Linked DNA regions of Macaca fascicularis. Each later gene encodes a partner of the first gene's protein in a complex. Links are inferred from orthologs where the notes say so. Each region holds a gene or a part of one and is shown in the gene's direction. Other genes may lie near its edges. The genes, in order: MAP3K20, PKN1, NOD2, MAPK14 and MAP2K3.

Region 1 (4,135 bases):
CCCATCTCTCCGCTTTCGTATCTTTAACCTATCGAATGACTTACAAATTTTCTATTTCACTCTTGACCTCTTTTCTGAATTTCAGTTTCATATTTCAGTTGCTGCATCTCTACCTGTTTTTACTTCTATGACCTCAAACTCAACATGAAGCCAGCTTCCCTTTCACGTATTCCTATTCCTGTCAATGACACCATCATTCTTCCAGTCATCCAGGTCTGAAATCTTGGCATCACCTCTCCTCTTCTTCTCTTCTAAATCTTGCCGCTTCTCTTCTAAATCTTGTGGGTTACCAATTTCTGTGCCCTCTTGCTGAAATATTTAATATTTCTCTCAATTCCATTTCTTCTTGTTTTTTTTTTTTTTTTTTTTTTTTTTAAAGACAGAGTCTCACTCTCATCCAGGCTGGAGTGCAGTGATGCGATTGTGTTTCACTTCAGACTCGACTTCCCCAGCTCAAGCGATTCTCCCACCTCAGCCTCCCAAGTAGCTGGGACTATAGATGCGTGGCACCACACCGGGCTAAGTTTTTGATTTTTTTAGAGATGAGGTCTCACTATGTTACCCAGTCAGTTCTCAAGTGATCCCCTCAGCTTGATCTCCCAAAGTGCTGGGATTACAAGCACCACACCCAGCCCATTTCTTTTTTTTAATTCCATTTCCTACACCCTAACTCAGGTCCTCATGATCCCACAACCGGGTGGTGACAATATCTACCACTCATCCTGGTCCCATCCTAGCAACCCAAGCTACAACTACTGTGGACTACTCTCTCAAAATTACAGTTTAAACAAAAACACAAACACCCATTTCACCCCTTTGATTCTAATTTTTCACTGCTCCCCGGTGTCCATGGATAATAAAATTCAAATCCAAACTCCTGGATAATGTTGCCTATGCCTTGCCACCTCCTCGCACTTTTCCTTCACAAAACCATCCTCCCCAATCAGAAATTTCTTTTCTTCCCAACGCCCACCTCTACCTTTGGCTTAGGCCTGTAATGGACTCTGGTTCCTCATCTGAACTCTGCTCTGTTAAAGTTACCAACTACAGCAGCGGACCACGGCCCCTCCTCAAAATTCCAGAGGTACCTACTGATCTTTCTAGGGAGGCAGCCTTCAGACCTGTGTTCCCAGAAATCTCTACGTTTGTCCCTTTCCCAACTAGAGAATTAACTCTTGCAGGGCACAAAACAGCCTCTATTTCTTTGCGTCCCCCGCGCCTGTTTGTTGAAGACTGAGTTGAAGGAGTAGCAGGTGGTGTTAACTCGTCAAAAAGATGGTGGCCAGGGGGAACACCCCCACAGCTCTCCCCCGACAGCAGGGCAGGTGTGCCTGGGGGCCTCGGCGGGTGCCGGGGCGCGGGGCGGATGGTGCCCCCGGGCGCAGGCCAGGGAGGCCCAAGCGCCTTCCCCACGCCCCGCTCGCCCGCGCGTGTGAGGGGAGGGCTGCCCGGCCGTTCCGCGCCGGGAGGTAGGTGGTGCTGTTGCCGTGACTGTCTTCCTCATTGGCGCCGGGCAGAGAGGCGGAATGTTCAACTCCTGACTCCGGCGGAAGCGTGGGAGCCGCGCGGGCCGCTGTCGTTCCAACCCCCGCCGCCCTCGTCGCGCGCGGGGCCTCCGCGCCCCCGGCTGCTGCTCGCGCCCGGCCTGGGAGCCAGGTAGGGTCCAGGCTGGAGCCCGCGGAGGGCGGGGAGGGAGGGGGCGAGGCCCGCCGCGCTCGCGAGTCGTCCTCGCGTCTTGGGGCCGAGGTTCCGCCGGGGCCCGGGAGTCCAGGCGGCCTCTGGATGCTACTTGGGGCTCCTCTCCCTGACCCAGGACCCGCGCGGCGGCGGCGGCGGCCGGAGCGAGCATTCGCCGCGCCGGAGGAGTCCTCGCGGGACCTCGGCCGCGGCGCCGCCAAGTGCGGTTCGGGAAAGTTCGGGCCAGTCCCACGGAGAAGTTGGTGCCTGGAGGCGCGGGGCGCAGGCCGGAGCGGCTCGGGATTCCGCGGCCCTGGGCGTGCGGCACGGGCAGGGGCTCTGCAAACAGGAGAGCCGGCCAAGCAGCGGGTGGTTGGGGCACTGTCGGGAGGGGAACCGCGAGGCCCCCAAATCAGGGCAGGATGCAGGCCACTTCCCAGCACTCGCTGTGCGTGCGAGGAGGGACGACGAACTTCTGCTTTTCTAAGAACTCGGCCGCTAGCGGTGTTGCTTTCCATCCATTTTCTTTCATTCTGTTTTCCTCACGTAATTAGGCCATGCGAATAACCAGCAGGAACAATGAACACTAAAGATTAGTTTTACAAACATGCGTAAATGTATCCAGAGCCACCCAGAGCCGCCGCTCCCCGCCCTTCCTTCGCCGGGCTTGGGCAGCGTGGCGCGCCCGCCCTCTCGGGCTTCCCCCTTTCCTCCCACCGGAGCCCGGGTTGTCCCCTTTGGCGACCCTCAGGCAGCCGTCTTTTTGTGGGCTCCCAGACCTGCACCAGGCCGAGAAGTACTTACCCAGGCCGCCGCCTCGCCTGGCCTCGCTTGCCCATGACAGCTTTCAGAAAACTTTAATTCAGGACTGGCTAGATAACATCCGATTGCCTAAAAAAAATTTTTAAAAAGATTATCTCTGTTAGATCGCCGAAAATGTTAATGTTTCTGATGCGCTTTGAGATCGCGCATAAGCACTGTTTATGGGGAACTTAATTACTATTTTTGTTAGTTTCTGTAATAATGAAAGCAACACAATTTAGGGGCCCATTCCAAGTATAGTACAGTAAGCAGCTCATTAATAATGGTGTGTGAGAATCGTCTTACAGAGTGAATTTGAGGATATTTGAATTAAGATTGTTGAAAACAGTACCTACTTTAACCCCAAAGCTGTTTTAGGAGAGACTTCTTGTTTCCCTGACCTTCCTTGAAATTAACAGCTAGGATTTAGTGGATCCAAACCTCCAAACACGTTTAAAGACAAAAATAAACAAGTGATTCAAGGCTAATGTCCTCCTTGTAGTAGGCCTCTCTCCACAGTGAAATTTCACTTGTTTTTCAATTTTCAAAAAAAAAAAAAAAAAAAGTGATGGCTGCATTTTAATTATGTTTATGGTCATTTGCAGAGTCTTTGTTTTAAATTCCTGCTACTATAGTGAGAGATTTAGGAGACTGTAAATGAATACGAATTTAGTTTGGGAATAGAGAATTAAGATAAAAATAGTCTTTTGGACCCCTGCAATGTTTATTTTAATCTTTCACAATTTAATTCCTATAACTTTTTGAGATTATTTGGGGGAGTTTTTTAACTGCAAAATATTGTTGTTTAAATAAAAAAATTTAGTGATAATAATTCCAGAGTAAATGACCATGATGCAATTGCAAGGACTTTCTTGTCTAAAAAAGCAAATAAATGATTGATCTGTTTTTCTTATTCTTTTAGGGAATATATAAGGACACAGTAAAGAGAGGGAAAGAGAGAAAAATATCCAAATATTAAACATGCGGACTTGGATCTAAAAATGGATGGTCAAAGATCTTGGGAACTAAGGGGCCTTCTTGCCAAATAAGGAAACTTGGCAAGTTGCACTGTGTATTTTAACTTAGCACAAGAGTGAGTGTTATTGGCAATATATTGGCTCAGAGCCTATCAGGAATGAGCAGTGAAACTGACTTCGACAGGGCTACAAAATTATAAATAGGAGGTATGAGGGGTGTGGAGTGAATAATCCAGTCATCAGAGAAAACACTGAAGAAATTATAATGATGTTTCATGAAAAGAAGTCAGATGTAAGGTGAAGCTATTGGTGTGGAGTGAAAGCAAAATGGACAGTTTATTTTAGAAATTGGTAGATTCAGAAGAGATGAATCAATGTTTTTTGTTTGTTTGTTTGTTTGTTTTTCTTAAACTGGAAAAAGGTGTTGTAGGGATATAGTGCTTCTTGGAATAAGATAGCTCTATGTCTGTATCCTGAGACGTTGAAAATAAAAATGAATTTAGATCACTTGTTTTCCATTTTATTCTACCCAGGACAGATTGACAGGGTGAGTGTCTTGTCTATCTAAATGTAATATGAACAGTTAAGGCCCCTTTTGGTCTTACTGCAAGGAAGATTTAGGCTAGTCTTTTGGCAGCTATTAACTTTGCCTCAGTAGACACAAATAAGCAGAGTTCCAG
Region 2 (4,081 bases), on another chromosome or scaffold:
TTAGTAGAGACGGGTTTCACCATATTGGCCAGGCTGGTCTCGAACTCCTGACCTCCAGTGATCCACCCACCACCACCTTGGCCTCCTAAAGGGCTGGGATTATAGGGGTGAGCCACTGCACCCAGACATTTTTTTTTCTTTCTTTTTTTTAGACAAGGTCTCGCTCTGTCACCCAGGCTGGAGTGCAGGGGCATCATGATTGCTCCCCACAGTGATGCATTCTCGGCCTCTTGAGCTCAAGCGATCCTCCTGCCTCAGCCTCCTGGTAGCTGGGACTACAGGCATGCGCTACCATGCCTGGCTGGATGGATTCTAGATCAGAATATTCTCCTCCTTCTCTCTTTCTGTTGTTAATATCCCCCAAAGAGTTGCTCAGATGAAAAAATAAGAGAGAAAACATCGCGCCCTGGTTTCCGGGACGACTGAAACCACGCAGAGCCACGCGTAGCTAAGGTACCCACAGCCCACGGCGCTTCCTCGGGTCCCAAAGGGCGCCAATGTGCAGACACCGCCGCCAGGGAGCGCTCCCCGCCGGAGCCCCGGAGACCAAGGTTTGGCTCCCTCGCCTGGTTTCCGAAGGAGTGAGGGTCCGACGGCAGCCGTAAACAAAGCTGCACGCTCTGCAGACCCCGGAGATCCCCTAGAAATTCCTCAGAGGCCTCCACTCTCCGCATGGGCACGAGTCTGCATTTATGGAGCGCCATCTGCATGCAGCAGCCCCGAAAAAGAAGGCGGTGCCCATTTTATTGTGTGGAAAACTGAGACTCAGAGGCCACAGGGGTTCCCAGGATGAACAGCGAGTTGGGATTCAAACCTCTTTTAATAACAATAACGATAATAGAGGTCAGGCGCAGTGGCTCAAGCCTGTGTAATCCCAGCACTTTAGGAGACCGAGGCGGGCGGATCACCTGATCAGGAGTTTGAGACCAGCCTGGCCAACATGATGAAACCTCATCTCTACTAAAAATATAAAAATTAGCCGGGCATGATGGCGGGCATCTGTAATCCTAGCTACTCAGGAGGCTGAGGCAGAAGAATCGCTTGAACCCGGGGGGCAGAGGTTGCAGTGAGCCGAGATCGCACCACTGCACTCCAGGATGGGCAATAGAGCGAAACTCCGTCCAAAAACAGCAAAACAACAAACAATTACGATAACATTAAAAGTGACAGCAGCTAACACTTATGGAGCGTCTAGAGTGTTCTCAGCTCTTGGCCTGCACTGTCTCATTGAATTTTACCAACACCTAGGAGGTGAGCGCATCATTCCCATTTCACAGATGAGGTGCCTGGAAGGATTTGGCTTCCCCAAGGCGTAAAGCGCTGGCATTTGAATGCAGATCTGCCCAGAGCTTGTCTCCAGGTAACGGGGAAACTTCCATGCCCTTGAATAGGGGACCACAGATGCAGGCGTCCCGAGCTTGCAAATGCACAGGGATGGGGTGGGGTGGGGGGGTTATTTTTTTTTTTTCAGGGGTTCTGGGAGGCCCAAAGGCCTCCGCCGCTCTCGGCTTGAACGCGGGGAACCGTTCTCCTCGGGTTCCCGCGCGCTCCAATGGGGGACCTCTCGGCAGCGTGCGGTCGTCGCAGGACCCGGAAAGAGGAAAGGTGGGGAGCCGATCGGGGTGCTCCGAGCTCGGGAGACTGAGGGGGCGGGCGGGCGGGACCCCGCAGCCCCGGGGGCCTCTGGGAGCCCCTCCCCCTCGGCCCCGCCCCCTCCCCGGGCGCCGACCTCCGGGGTCACGTGACCGGGCCCGGCGGCCGCTGGGGCTGGAGGGCGCGGCGCGGGGACGCGGCGGCCTGGGCAGGCGAGGCGGGAGCCTAGCAGGCCGGAGCGGGCCGCGGGCCGGGGAGGGTCGCGCCGCGCCCGCCCCCTCCCCGCCACGCCCGGGGCGCACGCGCGCTCCTCTGGCCGCCCCTCCCTCCGCGCGGGGACCCCTGGCGGGCGGCAGGAGGACATGGCCAGCGACGCCTTGCAGGTAGGCGCACCTGCGTCTGGAGTCCCGGGGCGACCGGACGGCTCCAGGGGACCCCGCCCTCGCGCTCCCGGGGGAGCCCCCCAGCCCCCCGAACGGGACTCGGGTGGCGATGGCTAGGGCGGGGACCTCCGGAGCGCCCGGCGCCCCCTCCCTGGGCCGGGACTGTGGAGCCAGCGAGGCCCCCTTCTCGGCAGGTGGCGATGTGGACGGGGCTGGTTTGGGGGCAATCTCGGAGGCACCCCCCGCTGCACCCCCAAACTCGGCCTCTCCCAGAGAACTAGAAGGGGCGCGGCGGAGGCTCTACTTCGGGTGTCTGTGGCTGGCTGGGAGTCCCGGTGCCTCTCGTCCGCCCCCAAACTCATCCCCCTCCCCAGGGTTGGGTGCCCGGCAGGTGCCGCTCCACCTGGGGCAGGTGCCTGGCGCAGTGCCGTGGGAGGGGAGGAGGCCGCCGGGCCCGGCCCGTGCCCTTCCCCCGCATAACAAAGCTCCAGCCACCCCCGCCTCTAGACAGCTTTATAGTGTTCCAGACGCCACCCAGATTGGCACCTGTTGGCGGAAGTACCCGAGTCACTGCATTAGGTCGGGGGACTGGGGACCCCCGCTCCTACTCTTGGACTGTCAGGTGGAACCTTCTCCCGGGTGGGGAGTGCCTCAGTCAACAGGCCAGGGATGCTCCCATATATAGAATCCTACTTTTTTGCATGGTGGCTGGGCAGGGCTGGGTCACCCCCACCCTCCTAACACACACACGTGACTGGCACCAGCCTTCTGCCCAGCCAGATTCCCCCGTGCCACCTGGTTGGTATCACTGACCTGGACTCATCTTCCCCGTCTGTGACAAGCAGGGCCAGCGTGACTGCCAACCTTCTTTGGTTCAAGTGACCCAAATCTGAGAAATGTCTGTGCCTCGGTGCCCCCATTTGCACCTCACCATCCAGTTCATCGTCCTGTGGCTGTTGTGTAACTGGGTTCTCGTCTCCTTCTGCACCTGCCCCCTGCCCCTCTGTGTCTCCCCCGTAACCCCCGGTCCCTCCCACCTCCCCAGTCCTGCTGATGGCCTGCCGGCCTTGCCGAGGAGCTGGGCGTATCTGGTGTTGCCGATCACACAAGGTCAGACCTCAGGGCCGGGATGGGCCGGGGTCCCTGCCTCCACCCCCGGCCCAGGGAGGGCTGTGTAGGAATCCCCGGGCGCATGCATGCGCTTGGCGCGTCCCACACATGACCCAGACAGGCTGTGATTCCTGCAGTGAGGCTGGACCCACGCCCTGGTCCCCCCTTCCCATCTCCTCCTTAGTCTCTTCCCTCCTCCTGGTCATCCCTCTCTCATGGTTGCTTGGGCCTGCCGCCCTGTCCCTCTATCTGTCCCAACGTGTGCCTGTCTGTTCTGTGTCCTGCAAACGGATGTCCTGTCCAGATTCCGGAAACGCCCAAGGCATTGAAATCTCCGGATGTGGGGGTCTAGGTCCCTGGCTGCTCTGGCAAGATGGGGATTCTGGGAGGCAGGTCCTCTGGGTCTGAGGTCTCCGCTCCATGGTGGGCAGCAGAGGAGCAGGGGTTCTCCATAGGCCAGGCCAGGCCCCTGAGTCCTGGGTTTGCCTTGGTGGCCCTCAGGTGACCTGTATGCCCTGGGAAGAAGTGAGTCACTCAGGGGAGGAGAACCCAGGAGCCCAGCCTCCCTCCCTCTCTGCATTACAGACCTCAGCTGCTGGAGGTGGGGCCGAGGGAGGCCACCTTTCCTCTCTGCCTGGACTTCCCCAGTTGAGCTGACCCCGCTCTTGGCTGTGTCCTCCCTCTGCCTGCTGGGGATGGGGTGGGGCCTGACTGAGTGAGGGTGGTATTTGGTGAGCCTGGGCTTAAATTCCGACGCTGACACTTCCTTGCTGTGTGTCCTGGGCCCAGTGCCTTCGCCTCTCTGAGCCTCGGTTCTGACCTAGGAAAAATGGGACTAAGAGGGTGTTCATGGGAGAGAGAGACCGAGACCTGGCCAGCACTTGGCAGGCGGGGCTGCTGTGAAGTCATTACTGGTAAGCGTCCTGGTCAGCAGCTCAGGGTGTGAATCTGTGTCCTTACTGATTGATTTACTTGTTTATATTTATTTATTTTGG
Region 3 (4,083 bases), on another chromosome or scaffold:
GGGAGGGGATGGGAGGACTTGGGGACAGCAGTACAGGCAATAGACAAGGGGGTCTGCTATAAAGGGGAGCAGATAAATGGGATTGGAGCCAAATGAAGAAAGTGGGTGTCAAGAGAGGGCTTTACTTTTACAATGGAGAATATAGTGCATTGTGCACTGGTGGGGGGAATTGGTCTCTTAGGAAGAGAAGTTCAGTGCCGGGGAGGGAGAATGCAGGATGGCTGGGGGAGGGTGGGGGCGCTTGGCCCCAGCAGAGACCCGGGATACTTGGGAAGTTGCGCTTCCCTGGGCTTCCCTTCCTCTCCTGTCTGCAAGGGGTCAGTGGACTGAGATTTCAGCACTTAAGCAAAGCATTTGCTCTTGGCCCCAGAGAAACCAGGTTGGCTGTGGTCTCAGGAAGGAAGGAGCTGTCCAAGGCTCAGGCCTGGGCCTGGGTTTCAGGGAGGGCCCTTGTGGGTCGCTCCTTGACCCTCTCTTTCAGCAAGGAAGTGCTCCTTTCTCTACATGGGCCTCACCTTGGGGAGGACAATGGTGTCTTTGAAGTTGTAGTAACTGAAGTAGAGATCAAAAGGCAATGCAGATAGACTAATAGATTTTGCCTGAAGAGGGGAAGCCCGATCAGGTAATAAAGGGGTAAGAGGAAGGATGTGAAGGACAATTTTTAGGAAACAGATAATGAGTGAATATTTTTTCTGTCTCTTTCCCAAGTTAAACTGAAGCAGGAGAAACTGAAGCTAGACATAATGAATAAATTCCCAAGCTGGTGAGCTTCCTGAGCTGGTTAGTGAGGACAGCACTAAGGCCAGGCCCTCCTCTCCGGATGTTTAATATGAGACAGGACAATGCCTGCTCAGAGACAGGGGACTGGCTGAATTGGCCCTCAGGATTCTTTTTGCTCTGAGGTTTCTGGAAGAAGGCCAGGGCAGAGGTGCGGTGATGCAGCTGCTGGGAGGACAGAGCTCCGAGTCACGTGACTTGGGCGGCCCTCCCCTTCCTGGTGCCCACAGAAGCCCGACGTCACTAGCCGGGGTGTGTATGGCTCACACGTAGGCCAGGCTGCCCTAGGCTTGGTGTGCTAGGGAGGGGCCCCTACTTACTTGTGGCCTGTCCCCTCGTGAATGTGTCTCATGTCCCCAGTGGGGTTTTTCAGGGAGGGTCATGGTCTCCAGGATGCACAAGGCTTTGTGCCAGAATTGCCTGGAATTACCTAGTTCTGGAAGGCTGGTTGGCCAACTCTGGCCTCTGGCTTTTCCTTTGGGAATTTCCCTTGAAGGTGGGGTTGGTAGACAGATCCAGGCTCACCAGTCCTGTGCCGCTGGGCTTTTGGTGTTCTGCACAAGGCCCACCCACAGATGCCATGCCTGCTCCCCAAGCCTAATGGGCTTTGATGGGGGAAGAGGGGGTGGTCCAGTCTCTCCCGATGAGGAGGAAAGAGCAAGTGTCCTCCTCGGACATTTTCTGGGTAAGAGGAGCAGGCATTGTCCTGTCTCAGCTTGACTCTCAGCCTTCTTTCATCCCTGGCTGCGCGCATGCTCCCAGGCCTGGGGTGAGATGGGGAGTGCTGACTGTGTCTCTGGGCTGTTTTCTGGGGAGAGTGGGTGGGTGGTTATTTTCCCCAGGACCCTGGCAGGGGTGATGGTGGGGGCTGCTGTCGCGTCCTTGGCTGATGTTTCCACAGCTGAGAACCACTCCAGGGCCAAGCCCAGAGCTTATTCTACCCCCTTTTGGTCCTCTCTTCCCCCGTCCCCCGCCACCCCACCCTCTTGGCTCCTCTGCTTAGAGGTGAGCACGGGGAGGAGACCTCCTTGGCCTGAGAGAACTACCTTAGTTCCTGGATTCCAGTGGCCTGTGCAGGGGGGGGACACTCTCTCTCCCAAGCAGCCAGACACACACATAACCTCATTGCCTCCGTTTCCCCATCTGACCAGCACAGGGCCTCCTGTGCCCCAGCAGCGTTCTGAGAGATTGGAGGTTTTTCCTTTTGCTTACCTTGGCTGCCGTATGAGGATGGTTACAGTGTTCCTCCCACCCCCAGCCCAGGGGATATTTGATTCATGAACATTTCCACGGTGTCTCTGCGGGGGACAGTGCCGTGCCAGGCTCAGGGATGCTAGGACGAGTAAGACCCAGGCTTCCACGTGACCCAGGCAGGGAGAGAGACACATAAACAACCATCAGCAAAGAGGCAAAATCCCCAGGCCGCTTGGCGTCTACTCCCTCGAGTGGCTGGGAATGTCCCTGATTTATAAAAAGAAGCCGACGGCTCTCTTTGTTGTCCATGCCTACACCCTTTCACTTTCGTTTCTTCGAGGCACTGCACCAGCCCTTGTCCACAGACCCCACGACAATCGCAGAACTAACCATGCTGAGAGATTTTCTCAGCTGCTCAGAGATCCTCCCAGGGCTTGAAGCTCCTGGAGGGTTACTTGCCCTCAAATTCCCAGAACCCACAGCAGGTGGCTAACGGTAGCAGCAGCAGCAGTCTGTGCACGGTGGTTTCGAGGGCGTGGGAGGGAGGTGAGGGCCCTAGGGCAAGTGTGTGGGGGAAGTGTTGATGGGGGACAAGGCACGAGAACGCTTGGAAACAACTTAGTTTGCACCGTAATTTTTCACTTAGCCTAGGATAGGACCTTTAGAACAATATTCTGAGTGTACCCCTTGGAGTAGCAGTGTGCAAAACACACAGCAAGGGCTTGGGGCCCCCGTGGGGAACCCAAATGTAAGAGTTAGAGACATGCATTCTGGAGTTGCACACAGCTTGTGTTGAAATCCTGACTCTGCCTGTCTAGCTGTGACATGTCGTACAAATCGCTGAGCCTCTCGGTGCCTCAGTGTCTTCCTCTGTAAAATGGGCAGATCATAGGCACTACTTCAGAGTGGCTGGGAGGGTTCAGTGAATTCACGCAGGAGAGCACTTAGAATGGCGCCTGGTGTGTTGTTTATGCTTAATTAATATTAGCCATTACTGAAACTGCTGTAGCGTGAATCCGGCCAGTGTGGAGTCCCTCTCACCCTGCTTTGAAGAGAATGAATTCCCTGACTGCTCGGAAGATCTCTCTTTCTCTCTCTCTACTTTTTACATTTTTATTATTATTTTTTTGAGACAGGGTCTTGCTCTGTTGCCCAGGCTGGAGTGCAGCCTGCAACCTCTGCCTCCCGGGTTCAAGTGATTCTCCTACCTCAGCCTCCTGAGTAGCTGGGATTACAGGTGCCCACACCACGCCTGGCTAATTTTTGTATTTTTAGTAGAGAAAGGGTTTTACCGTGTTGGCCAGGCTGGTCTGGAACTCCTGATCTCAAGTGACCTTGGGAGATCTCTTGCTCCTCATATTACCTCAAGCCTTTTTAAATGTTTTAAGCCGGAGACCAAGCATGGATGTGGGAGTTAGGGGTCTTGATTTAATTCTTGGTTGCTTCAAACTCTCTGTGGGACCTTGAGGTGTTTCTTGCCTTCTCTGGGTCTCAATTTTCACATCTGTATGGTGGGGAGCTTGGATTGGGTAATGTCTGAGGCTAGAACCATGGCCAACTCGGGTTCTGCTGGGGCTGACTTGCCCTGGCCTTCCCCAGCCACCCCGCGTCTGGCTTCTGGAGAAGTCCTGCACTGACCTTGTTCTCCTCCCCAGGTTGTGAAATGTGCTCGCAGGAGGCTTTTCAGGCACAGAGGAGTCAGCTGGTGGAGCTGCTGGTCTCAGGGTCCCTGGAGGGCTTCGAGAGTGTCCTGGACTGGCTGCTGTCCTGGGAGGTCCTCTCCTGGGAAGACTACGAGGGCATCCACCTCCTGGGCCAGCCTCTCTCCCACTTGGCCAGGCGCCTCCTGGACACCGTCTGGAATAAGGGTACTTGGGCCTGTCAGAAACTTGTCGCTGCTGCCCAGGAAGCCCAGGCCGACAGCCAATCCCCCAAGCTGCATGGCTGCTGGGACCCCCACTCGCTCCACCCAGCCCAAGACCTGCAGAGTCACCGGCCAGCCATTGTCAGGAGGCTCCACAGCCATGTGGAGGGCGTGCTGGACCTGGCACGAGAGCGGGGTTTCGTCAGCCAGTACGAATGTGACGAAATCAGGCTGCCAATCTTCACACC
Region 4 (4,252 bases), on another chromosome or scaffold:
TGCTTAAAATCCTCTTCACTGATGGCTCTTCAGGGTAGGAGTCAGTTTCAAATCTTCAGTGTAATGGTTTTTTAAATGCTTCTCAAAGGGAGATATCAGACTTTCCTGAATCAGAATTACCTAAGATGTATTATAAAAATACATGCTCTTGATGCCTTCCTCTGACCTACCCAATTAGACTCCCTGTGAGTCCTGGGAACTTGCATCTTAAACTCCCAGGGTGATTTTTCTGCATGTAAGTTTAAGAACTATTAGGAGAGTTTGAATGGAAAGCCTCAGCTTTTTTTTTTTTTTTTTTTTTTTTTTTTGAGACGGAGTCTCCTTCTGACGCCAGGCTGGAGTGCAGTGGCGCGATTTTAGCTCACTGCAACCTCCGCCTCCCGGATTCAAGCAATTCTCCTGCCTCAGTCTCCCGAGAAGCTGGAACTACAGGCTCAAGCCACCATGCCCAGCTAATTTTTGTATTTTTCAGTAGAGACGGGGTTTCACCATGTTGGCCAGGATGGTCTCTATCTCTTGACCTCGTGATCCGACCGCCTCGGCCTCCCAAAGTGCTGGGATAACAGGCGTGAGCCACCGCGCCCAGCCCCTGGAAAGCCTCAGCTTTGATGCAGGGTTAACATTTGCCTTTGGGACATATTTCGTCAGCATCTCGAAGAGTAACCCACATGTAGAGTAACCCATATGTCCTTGAGCAGATGGGAATGCAACAGCCTTCTGGCCAGAACCTGTCTCTCACTTTTTTTTTTTTTTTTTTTTAATTTGAGACGGAGTTTCGCTTCTGTTTCCCAGGCTGGAGTGCAATGGCGCGATCTCGGCTCACCACAACCTCCACCTCCCGGGTTCAAGCGATTCTCCTGCCTCTGCCTCCCGAGTAGCTGGGACTCCAGGTGCGCGCCACCACGCCCGGCTAATTTTGCATTTTTAGTAGAGACGGGGGTTTCGCCATTTTGGTCAGGCTGGTCTCGAACTCCCGACCTCAGGTGATCCGCCCGCTTCGGCCTCCCAAAATGCTGGGATTACAGGCGTGAGCCACCGCGCCCTGCCACCTGTCTCTTTTTCATGCAAGTGTTTTTTGGAATTTGGGGGTTCAGCTGAGCAGGTGCTCCGCTGCTAGTAACTACTCGCAGTTAAAGATCTTTTGACTCTTTCCCCGACACGCTATTTGTCACTGTCGTTTTCCACCACAGAGCCAGGTATTTGCCCTGCCGGCCACGGTGGGGCGCGCGCGGCGTGTGCTGCCCGCTTATCTCTTCCTTCCCTGGTCCGCCTTCGCGCCCTTAAGGAGACAGTTCCTGGGAGTTTCTGCCTTTGGGCTCCAGTTGTTGCTCTCTTCTCGCGAGAACTGCCCCTCTCATCCTCTCCTCTCACGAAGCCCCGCCCGCGAAGAGGTTCCATATTGGGTAAAATCTCGGCTCTCGGAGAGTCCCGGGAGCAGTTCTCGCGAGAGTACTGCGGGAGGCTCCTGTTTGCTGGCTGTGGAACCGCGACCACTGGAGCCTCAGCGGGCGCAGCAGCTGGATCCGGAGTACTGCGACGCAGCTCGGAGTCGGCCTTGTAGGGACGAAGGTGCAGGGAGATCGCGGCAGGCGCAGCCTTGAGCGCCGGAGCGCGTCCCTGCCCTTAGCGGGGCTTGCCCCAGTCGCAGGGGCGCATCCAGCCGCGGCGGCTGACAGCAGCCGCGCGCGCGGGAGTCTGCGGGGTCGCGGCAGCCGCACCTGCGCGGGCGACCAGCGCAAGGTCCCCGCCCGGCTGGGCGGGCAGCAAGGGCCGGGGAGAGGGTGCGGGTGCAGGCGGGGGCCCCATAGGGCCACCTTCTTACCCGGCGACTGCCGCTGGAAAATGTCTCAGGAGAGGCCCACGTTCTACCGGCAGGAGCTGAACAAGACAATCTGGGAGGTGCCCGAGCGTTACCAGAACCTGTCTCCAGTGGGCTCCGGCGCCTATGGCTCTGTGTGGTGAGTGTCGCCGGGCCTGGGGCCGCTGTGGGCAGGGTGGCCCCTCGCGCCCGAGAGCCAGGCCTGCACGACTGCTCTGCGTTGCGTCAAGTGGCAGGAATTTTCCTCGGGGGAGGGCCTTGCTGCCCCTTCGAGCTCTGCCTGTTCTGCACCTCCTGCACCCCTCGCCCTGCACTCACGCGGGTATTGCGGTCCACCGTGTGCAGCGCTCAAGTCCGCTGCGAGAGGTAGGTGGTGGTGCTGGAGCTCGGTTCTGGCTAGCACCCTGCGCCTTCGCCTCTCGGAAGGTTGCTGCTCGGCGGCAGGCACCGGGGGAAGGGCTGCTTCCTTGGGGGTCTCCCTCCGGACCTGGAGCAGAAGGACCCTCTCCCGCGATGCGCCCACGCTGTGGCGCCGGACCCTGTCCTCTGAGCAGACAAGCTTGGGGAGCTGCCGGGAGAAGCAGAAGGGCAGAGCGCAACCCGAAGACTGCGGTCATCTAAACAAAACTGACCAGGAAGGGAGCTCTCTCCGGGCCTTTTTTTTTTTTTTTTTCCCCAAACCTCTGTCGAAATCCCATCTCGAGAAGTGTTCTTTTTGAATTCGCACTTGAATTAGCAGCGATCCATAGAGCTTAAAATACCGACTTTATCTCGGTGAACACTGTGCCAGCTTGAGTGGTGTGTTTCCGATTCGGTTGAAAGCGTATTTCCTTTCTGTGGAGGGGCGGCGGTGGTAGTGCCTGCAAGAACGCTGCAGCTTGAGAAACTGGCAGTCTCACTGATTAGTCACATACCACTGCTCATTTAAGTATTGTTCGACAAAACAGTTTTTTCATTTGGAGCAAGAAAGATTCAGATCTGTAAGGCGCCCTCAAGATCAAAAAATTATTAACAGTGCTAGGAGGTATTGTAAGTATTTTTTGAGATAATTCCTGCGAATACTGTGTTTTAAAAGTCCCTTTCAGAGTTTGCAGGGATTTATCTAGTTATCTGCATTTATGGCCTGAGGTACACGATGGTTTTCGTAAGGATATGGAACCACATAGAAAAGGAAGGGAAGAGATACTTTTTAGCTTTAATTTACACCGTGAGTGTGTTTTAAATTAAGTCGATACCATGTAATTTCCAGACCTGAAATATTTCACTAACTGCTCTCTAATTTTCAAGGTTTTATACCCTGTATTTTAGATTTTCTATAATTTAAAAGCTACGGATCTGAAACTAAATATCAGATTTAACTGTTAGCTTTTTCTGTGTTTTAGTAATTCGTATTGTATGCGTCATTTGAAAAGGGGCCTGTAAAATAGTTTTTTGTTTTGGAACAAATTCCAGGCTTTTGGATGTGTTAATCTTTAAATATGATTTCTGTGTTTCCCAAAGTCACATCATGAATTTCCTGTTTGGTAGAATCTTCTGGGTAATTGAGATTGTGCAATTGTGTCCAGTAACAGATCATATTGCATTTTCTAGTTCAAGCTGCTTAAGTTATGTTGCAGATGGCACCGTGCGTGACATCTTTCTCCCATTTTTACAGCATGGCAGTTTACATTTTAAAGGAATTTGCAGGATTTTACATTCAGAGTGTGTGTGTGTATAGTTGATTTGCAGCATTTTACATTCGATATATACATGTTAATATATGTATATCCATTCAGTATATACATATTATGTATATCTAGTTGATTTGCTAATTTTCAAAGATGTATTTGGATCATTGTTCTTTTAATATTTTATAGCTCATTAATATACTTCCATTTTTTCATTCTTGAATTGACACATTCATTTCTGTAGTATCACGTTTTTGTTTTCAATGCTATTTAAATTTTAATGGAGTGATAACAGCAGAATAACTCATCTATAGAGGGTTTGGGTGAACTCCAGTTGAATTCCTCGCAAAGGTTCAGTACTGTTGGTGACTAGCTCTGCACTGGAACAGGAGATCCAGATTTACAGTGAAGTACCATTAAAATTAACTCCACATTTCTTTAGTGGTATATTTTTCTGTGGTATAAAAGCCAGCAGAGGCCGGGCGCGGTGGCTCAAGCCTGTAATCCCAGCACTTTGGGAGGCTGAGACGGGCGGATCACGAGGTCAGGAGATCGAGAAAGTCCTGGTTAACACGGTGAAACCCCGTCTCTACTAAAAAATACGAAAAAGTAGCCGGGCGAGGTGGCGGGCGCCTGTAGTCCCAGCTAACCGGGAGGCTGAGGCAGGAGAATGGCGTAAACCCGGGAGGCGGAGCTTGCAGCGAGCCAAGATGGCGCCACTGCACTCCAGCCTTGGCGACAGAGCGAGACTCCGTCTCAAAATAAA
Region 5 (3,510 bases), on another chromosome or scaffold:
TCATCATGGTGAGGACGGCCATCAGCGAGGGCCCTTGTGCTGGAGCCTCGGAATTCTCTGTCCTTCCAGGCTGGAACCAGGGCTGACATGACTTGTTTTTTCCATCCAGTCGTCATGACTGGAGCCCAGACTAGTCCTAGCTAGTCCGTCCCTTCCATGATGACTTCTTGCCAACCACAGGGAGGACACAGGGCTGGGAGTTTGCAGCGAGTACAGAGACCTACCGGCCCGATGTCACCCACAGGAAATCCGGATCCAGCAGGGCACATGTGGCCACACAGGCCACTTGTCTAGGAGGGAAACTGCCGGGGCCCTGCAGAAGATGAGGCTGCAGGCTCACGGGTGCAGAGGCGAAGCAACCTTATGGTCTCACAGTCTGTCTGTGGCCTTGGGGACAGCTGTGTGTGTGTGTGTGTGTGTGTGTGTGTGTGTGTGTGTGTGTGTGTGTGTAGCATTTCCCGTGTGCCTCCTCTGTGAAAACAGCAGCCCAAATAAATGACAGCAGATGCTGAAGTCTGAGATGGTCAGATGTTAGGGCGGGGAATGGCTGTGACCACCTGGGACCTGCCCACCTGGCTCACGAGGCTGCGGCCCGAGGTTGCCACCTCCTCAGATTTCTCCAGAGCAGCTGGAACCTGCATTGTTTTGTAAAATCTTCAGAATTCAGGTTGTCTGAAAACCCAGTGATGGTCCCACCAGTCCCGGCGTCGGCCTGATCTGCTTCCTGAGCTGGGTCCTGCTGGCTGGGTGGGAGGAGCTAAGAGCTTTCTTGCCTTTGTCCTGCTGGGCTGTGATAGGGAGATGAGCTGTGCAGCTTTGAGGCCTGGCTCCGGGACCAGGATGGGTGGGAGCCCCCAACCCTGGCTCCTGGGTGCAGAGCGTGGGTGTATCTGGGGCCAGGGCCTCTGACCCCCCATGTCACCACTGCAGATTGAGATGGCCATCCTGCGGTTCCCTTACGAGTCCTGGGGGACCCCGTTCCAGCAGCTGAAGCAGGTGGTGGAGGAGCCGTCCCCCCAGCTCCCAGCCGACCGTTTCTCCCCCGAGTTTGTGGACTTCACTGCTCAGTGGTGAGTCTTGGGTGCTGCTGAGCACCTGTCACTGCCCCTCCCTGGCCAGATCCCTGCACCTTCCTGGGCCCTGTTCCTTTTTGTTTTTGCAAATAACCCCCCAGATGACATGGCATCGAAATATGTAAGGCAGAAACAGCTGGAGCATGAGGCGCATTTGACAAAACGATGGTCCTGGTGGGAGATTTTAATATAGTTCTTCCAGAAGTGGACAAATCAGACAGACTGAAAAGAGAACAAAGTGTATGGAAGATTTGAACACAAAAAACAAGTTTGCTTTTACTGATATCTAGAACTTTGTACCAAATTAAAGAATGCCCCACAGGAGCCTTATAAAAATCATGTTTGAGAGGCTGGGTGCGGTGGCTCATGCCTGTAATCCCAGCACTTTGAGAGGCTGAGGCGGGCGGATTACAAGGTCAGGAGTTGGAGACCAGCCTGATCAACATGGGGAAACGCTGTCTCTACTAAAAATAGAAAAATTAGCCAGGCATGGTGGTGTACGCCTGTAATCCCAGCTACTCAGGAGGCTGAAGCACGAGAATCGCTTGAACCCAGGAGCCAGAGGTTGCAGTGAGCCTGAGCCGAGATCATGCGACTGCACTCCAGCATGGGCGACAGAGCGAGATTCTCTCTTAAAAAAAAAAATCATGTTTGAGGTTACAGAGGGACTAAGGAAGAAGGCAAAGTCATACAGACCAACTTCTCTGACCATAATTAAACAGAGCAAGAAATGGGTAAGGAAGAAGCGGCCGGGTGCGGTGGCTCACACCCATGGTCCCAGCACTTTTGTTGTTGACCATAATCAGCAACAGAGGAGCCCAGCAGTGTCCCTGGGCAGTCTGACCCCTTTAACTGGGGACTAACCTCTCCCAGAACCCATGATAAGGAGTTTTCTCTCCTGACTGAGGATACCGAGTATATGCTTGTTAGGCAGAACATTGCAGTCCCATTTTGGTGTTGATATGGAAATTCCTAGGTCACTATGGAGACAAGAAAACCAGGACCCCAAGAGCCAGAAACTTGCTGCGAGTCTCTAGTTTGCCCCTATGAATGCCCCTCCACCCTGGGAGAAGCCCTGGACACTCCTGTCCCTTCTTCCCTGGGTGCACGTGTCCCCTGCTGCCAGGCCTGGGGCAATCCCAGAGTGGCTTGGCTGGCCCTCGGGGGCTGGGCTTCCTTCCTACCTGCCCGCCTGGCCACAGCTGCACTCTTCTCTCCTAGCCTGAGGAAGAACCCCGCAGAGCGTATGAGCTACCTGGAGCTGATGGTGAGTACGGGCGGGAGGTGCCTGCCTTGCTCTTCGGGGCTGGCTGGGGCTGAGTGGGGCTCTGGGCAGAGGGCTACGTCCTGCACACAGATGGGTAGCTCCTCCGGCTGGCCCTGTGTTCACTCCTTTAGGTGCTCGGTCATTTGTTTGCTCCTGCATGCCTGGCTCCCTCCTCCCTCCTTCCTGCATGCCAGGCCCTGGGAAGGATACACAGGCAGTGTGTGACAGAATGGGGCAGAGGGGCCAAGGGTGGCATCAGGGAAGGCTTCATGGAGGAGGGACCATTTGAACTGAGCCTGGAAGGATGAATAAGGGTTATCTGCTGACGGAGAGGCGTCCCAAGCAGAAGGTCCAGCATGGGCAGAGGCCTGACGTGTCGGGGAAAAGGGAGGTCAGTGTGGCTGGAGAGTGACCACAAGAGAGCTGAGGAGGAGCCACAAATGCCATCGTGACTGTCATGGAGGGCCTCCTGGGGGTGGAGGTCCTAGAAGGATGAGTAGGATTTTGCCAGTCAGGAGGAACACTTGGGCTGGAGCTGGTTGGGGAGGAGTGGCCACCTCCCCCTCCCGCTACCCCCTCCATGGTGACTGTGCCTTCTGTCACCCCCAGGAGCACCCCTTCTTCACCTTGCACAAAACCAAGAAGACAGACATCGCTGCCTTCGTGAAGGAGATCCTGGGCGAAGACTCATAGGGGCTGGGCCTCGGACCCCACTCCGGCCCTCCAGAGCCCCACAGCCCCATCTGCGGGGGCAGTGCTCACCCACACCATAAGCTACTGCCATCCTGGCCCAGGGCACCTGGGAGGAACCAAGGGGCCTGTTCCCACCTGACTCTGCAGCGAGCCATTTGTCCCAAGTGCCAAAGAAGCAGACCATCAGGGCTGCCAGCCAGGCCCTTGTCGGCCCCACCAGTGCCTCTCCCTGCTGCTCCAAGGACCCGTCTCCAGCTGCTGAGATCCTGGACTGAGGGGGCCTGGATGCCCCCTGTGGATGCTGCTGCCCCTTGCACAGCAGGCCGCTGGTGCCTGGGTGAATGGGCCACTGCCTTGCCCAGCCTGGATGCCAGCCAAGTTGTATATTTTTTTAATCTCTTGACTGAATGGACTTTGCACACTTTGGCCCAGGGTGGCCACACCTCTATCCCGGCTTTGGTGCGGGGTACACAAGAG

What was found.
Region 2: MAP3K20 (region 1) and PKN1 share a complex: the UniProt entries of both Homo sapiens proteins name them as parts of the signaling complex. The link is inferred for Macaca fascicularis from reciprocal best matches to the Homo sapiens genes MAP3K20 and PKN1.
Region 3: MAP3K20 (region 1) and NOD2 share a complex: the UniProt entries of both Homo sapiens proteins name them as parts of the signaling complex. The link is inferred for Macaca fascicularis from reciprocal best matches to the Homo sapiens genes MAP3K20 and NOD2.
Region 4: MAP3K20 (region 1) and MAPK14 share a complex: the UniProt entries of both Homo sapiens proteins name them as parts of the signaling complex. The link is inferred for Macaca fascicularis from reciprocal best matches to the Homo sapiens genes MAP3K20 and MAPK14.
Region 5: MAP3K20 (region 1) and MAP2K3 share a complex: the UniProt entries of both Homo sapiens proteins name them as parts of the signaling complex. The link is inferred for Macaca fascicularis from reciprocal best matches to the Homo sapiens genes MAP3K20 and MAP2K3.

Annotation. Positions count from the first base shown.
Region 1 is NC_088386.1:68,609,476-68,613,610, forward strand, and holds the start of MAP3K20 (mitogen-activated protein kinase kinase kinase 20), read left to right. Parts: upstream 1-1,333; 5' UTR 1,334-1,469; intron 1,470-1,489; exon of another isoform or gene 1,490-1,656; intron 1,657-2,481; exon of another isoform or gene 2,482-2,568; intron 2,569-2,834; exon of another isoform or gene 2,835-2,895; intron 2,896-4,135. UniProt on the Homo sapiens protein: Stress-activated component of a protein kinase signal transduction cascade that promotes programmed cell death in response to various stress, such as ribosomal stress, osmotic shock and ionizing radiation.
Region 2 is NC_088393.1:14,864,446-14,868,526, forward strand, and holds the start of PKN1 (serine/threonine-protein kinase N1), read left to right. Parts: upstream 1-1,275; 5' UTR 1,276-1,377; coding exon 1,378-1,605; intron 1,606-1,756; exon of another isoform or gene 1,757-1,955; coding exon of another isoform or gene 1,956-1,976; intron 1,977-2,170; exon of another isoform or gene 2,171-4,000; intron 4,001-4,081. UniProt on the Homo sapiens protein: PKC-related serine/threonine-protein kinase involved in various processes such as regulation of the intermediate filaments of the actin cytoskeleton, cell migration, tumor cell invasion and transcription regulation.
Region 3 is NC_088394.1:46,655,258-46,659,340, forward strand, and holds the start of NOD2 (nucleotide-binding oligomerization domain-containing protein 2), read left to right. Parts: upstream 1-1,281; 5' UTR 1,282-1,377; coding exon 1,378-1,462; intron 1,463-3,626; coding exon 3,627-4,083. UniProt on the Homo sapiens protein: Pattern recognition receptor (PRR) that detects bacterial peptidoglycan fragments and other danger signals and plays an important role in gastrointestinal immunity.
Region 4 is NC_088378.1:135,643,545-135,647,796, reverse strand, and holds the start of MAPK14 (mitogen-activated protein kinase 14), read left to right. Parts: upstream 1-1,445; 5' UTR 1,446-1,842; coding exon 1,843-1,958; intron 1,959-2,074; exon of another isoform or gene 2,075-2,185; intron 2,186-4,252. UniProt on the Homo sapiens protein: Serine/threonine kinase which acts as an essential component of the MAP kinase signal transduction pathway.
Region 5 is NC_088390.1:20,741,066-20,744,575, forward strand, and holds part of MAP2K3 (dual specificity mitogen-activated protein kinase kinase 3), read left to right. Parts: intron 1-930; coding exon 931-1,070; intron 1,071-2,294; coding exon 2,295-2,340; intron 2,341-2,949; coding exon 2,950-3,033; 3' UTR 3,034-3,510. UniProt on the Homo sapiens protein: Dual specificity kinase. Is activated by cytokines and environmental stress in vivo. Catalyzes the concomitant phosphorylation of a threonine and a tyrosine residue in the MAP kinase p38.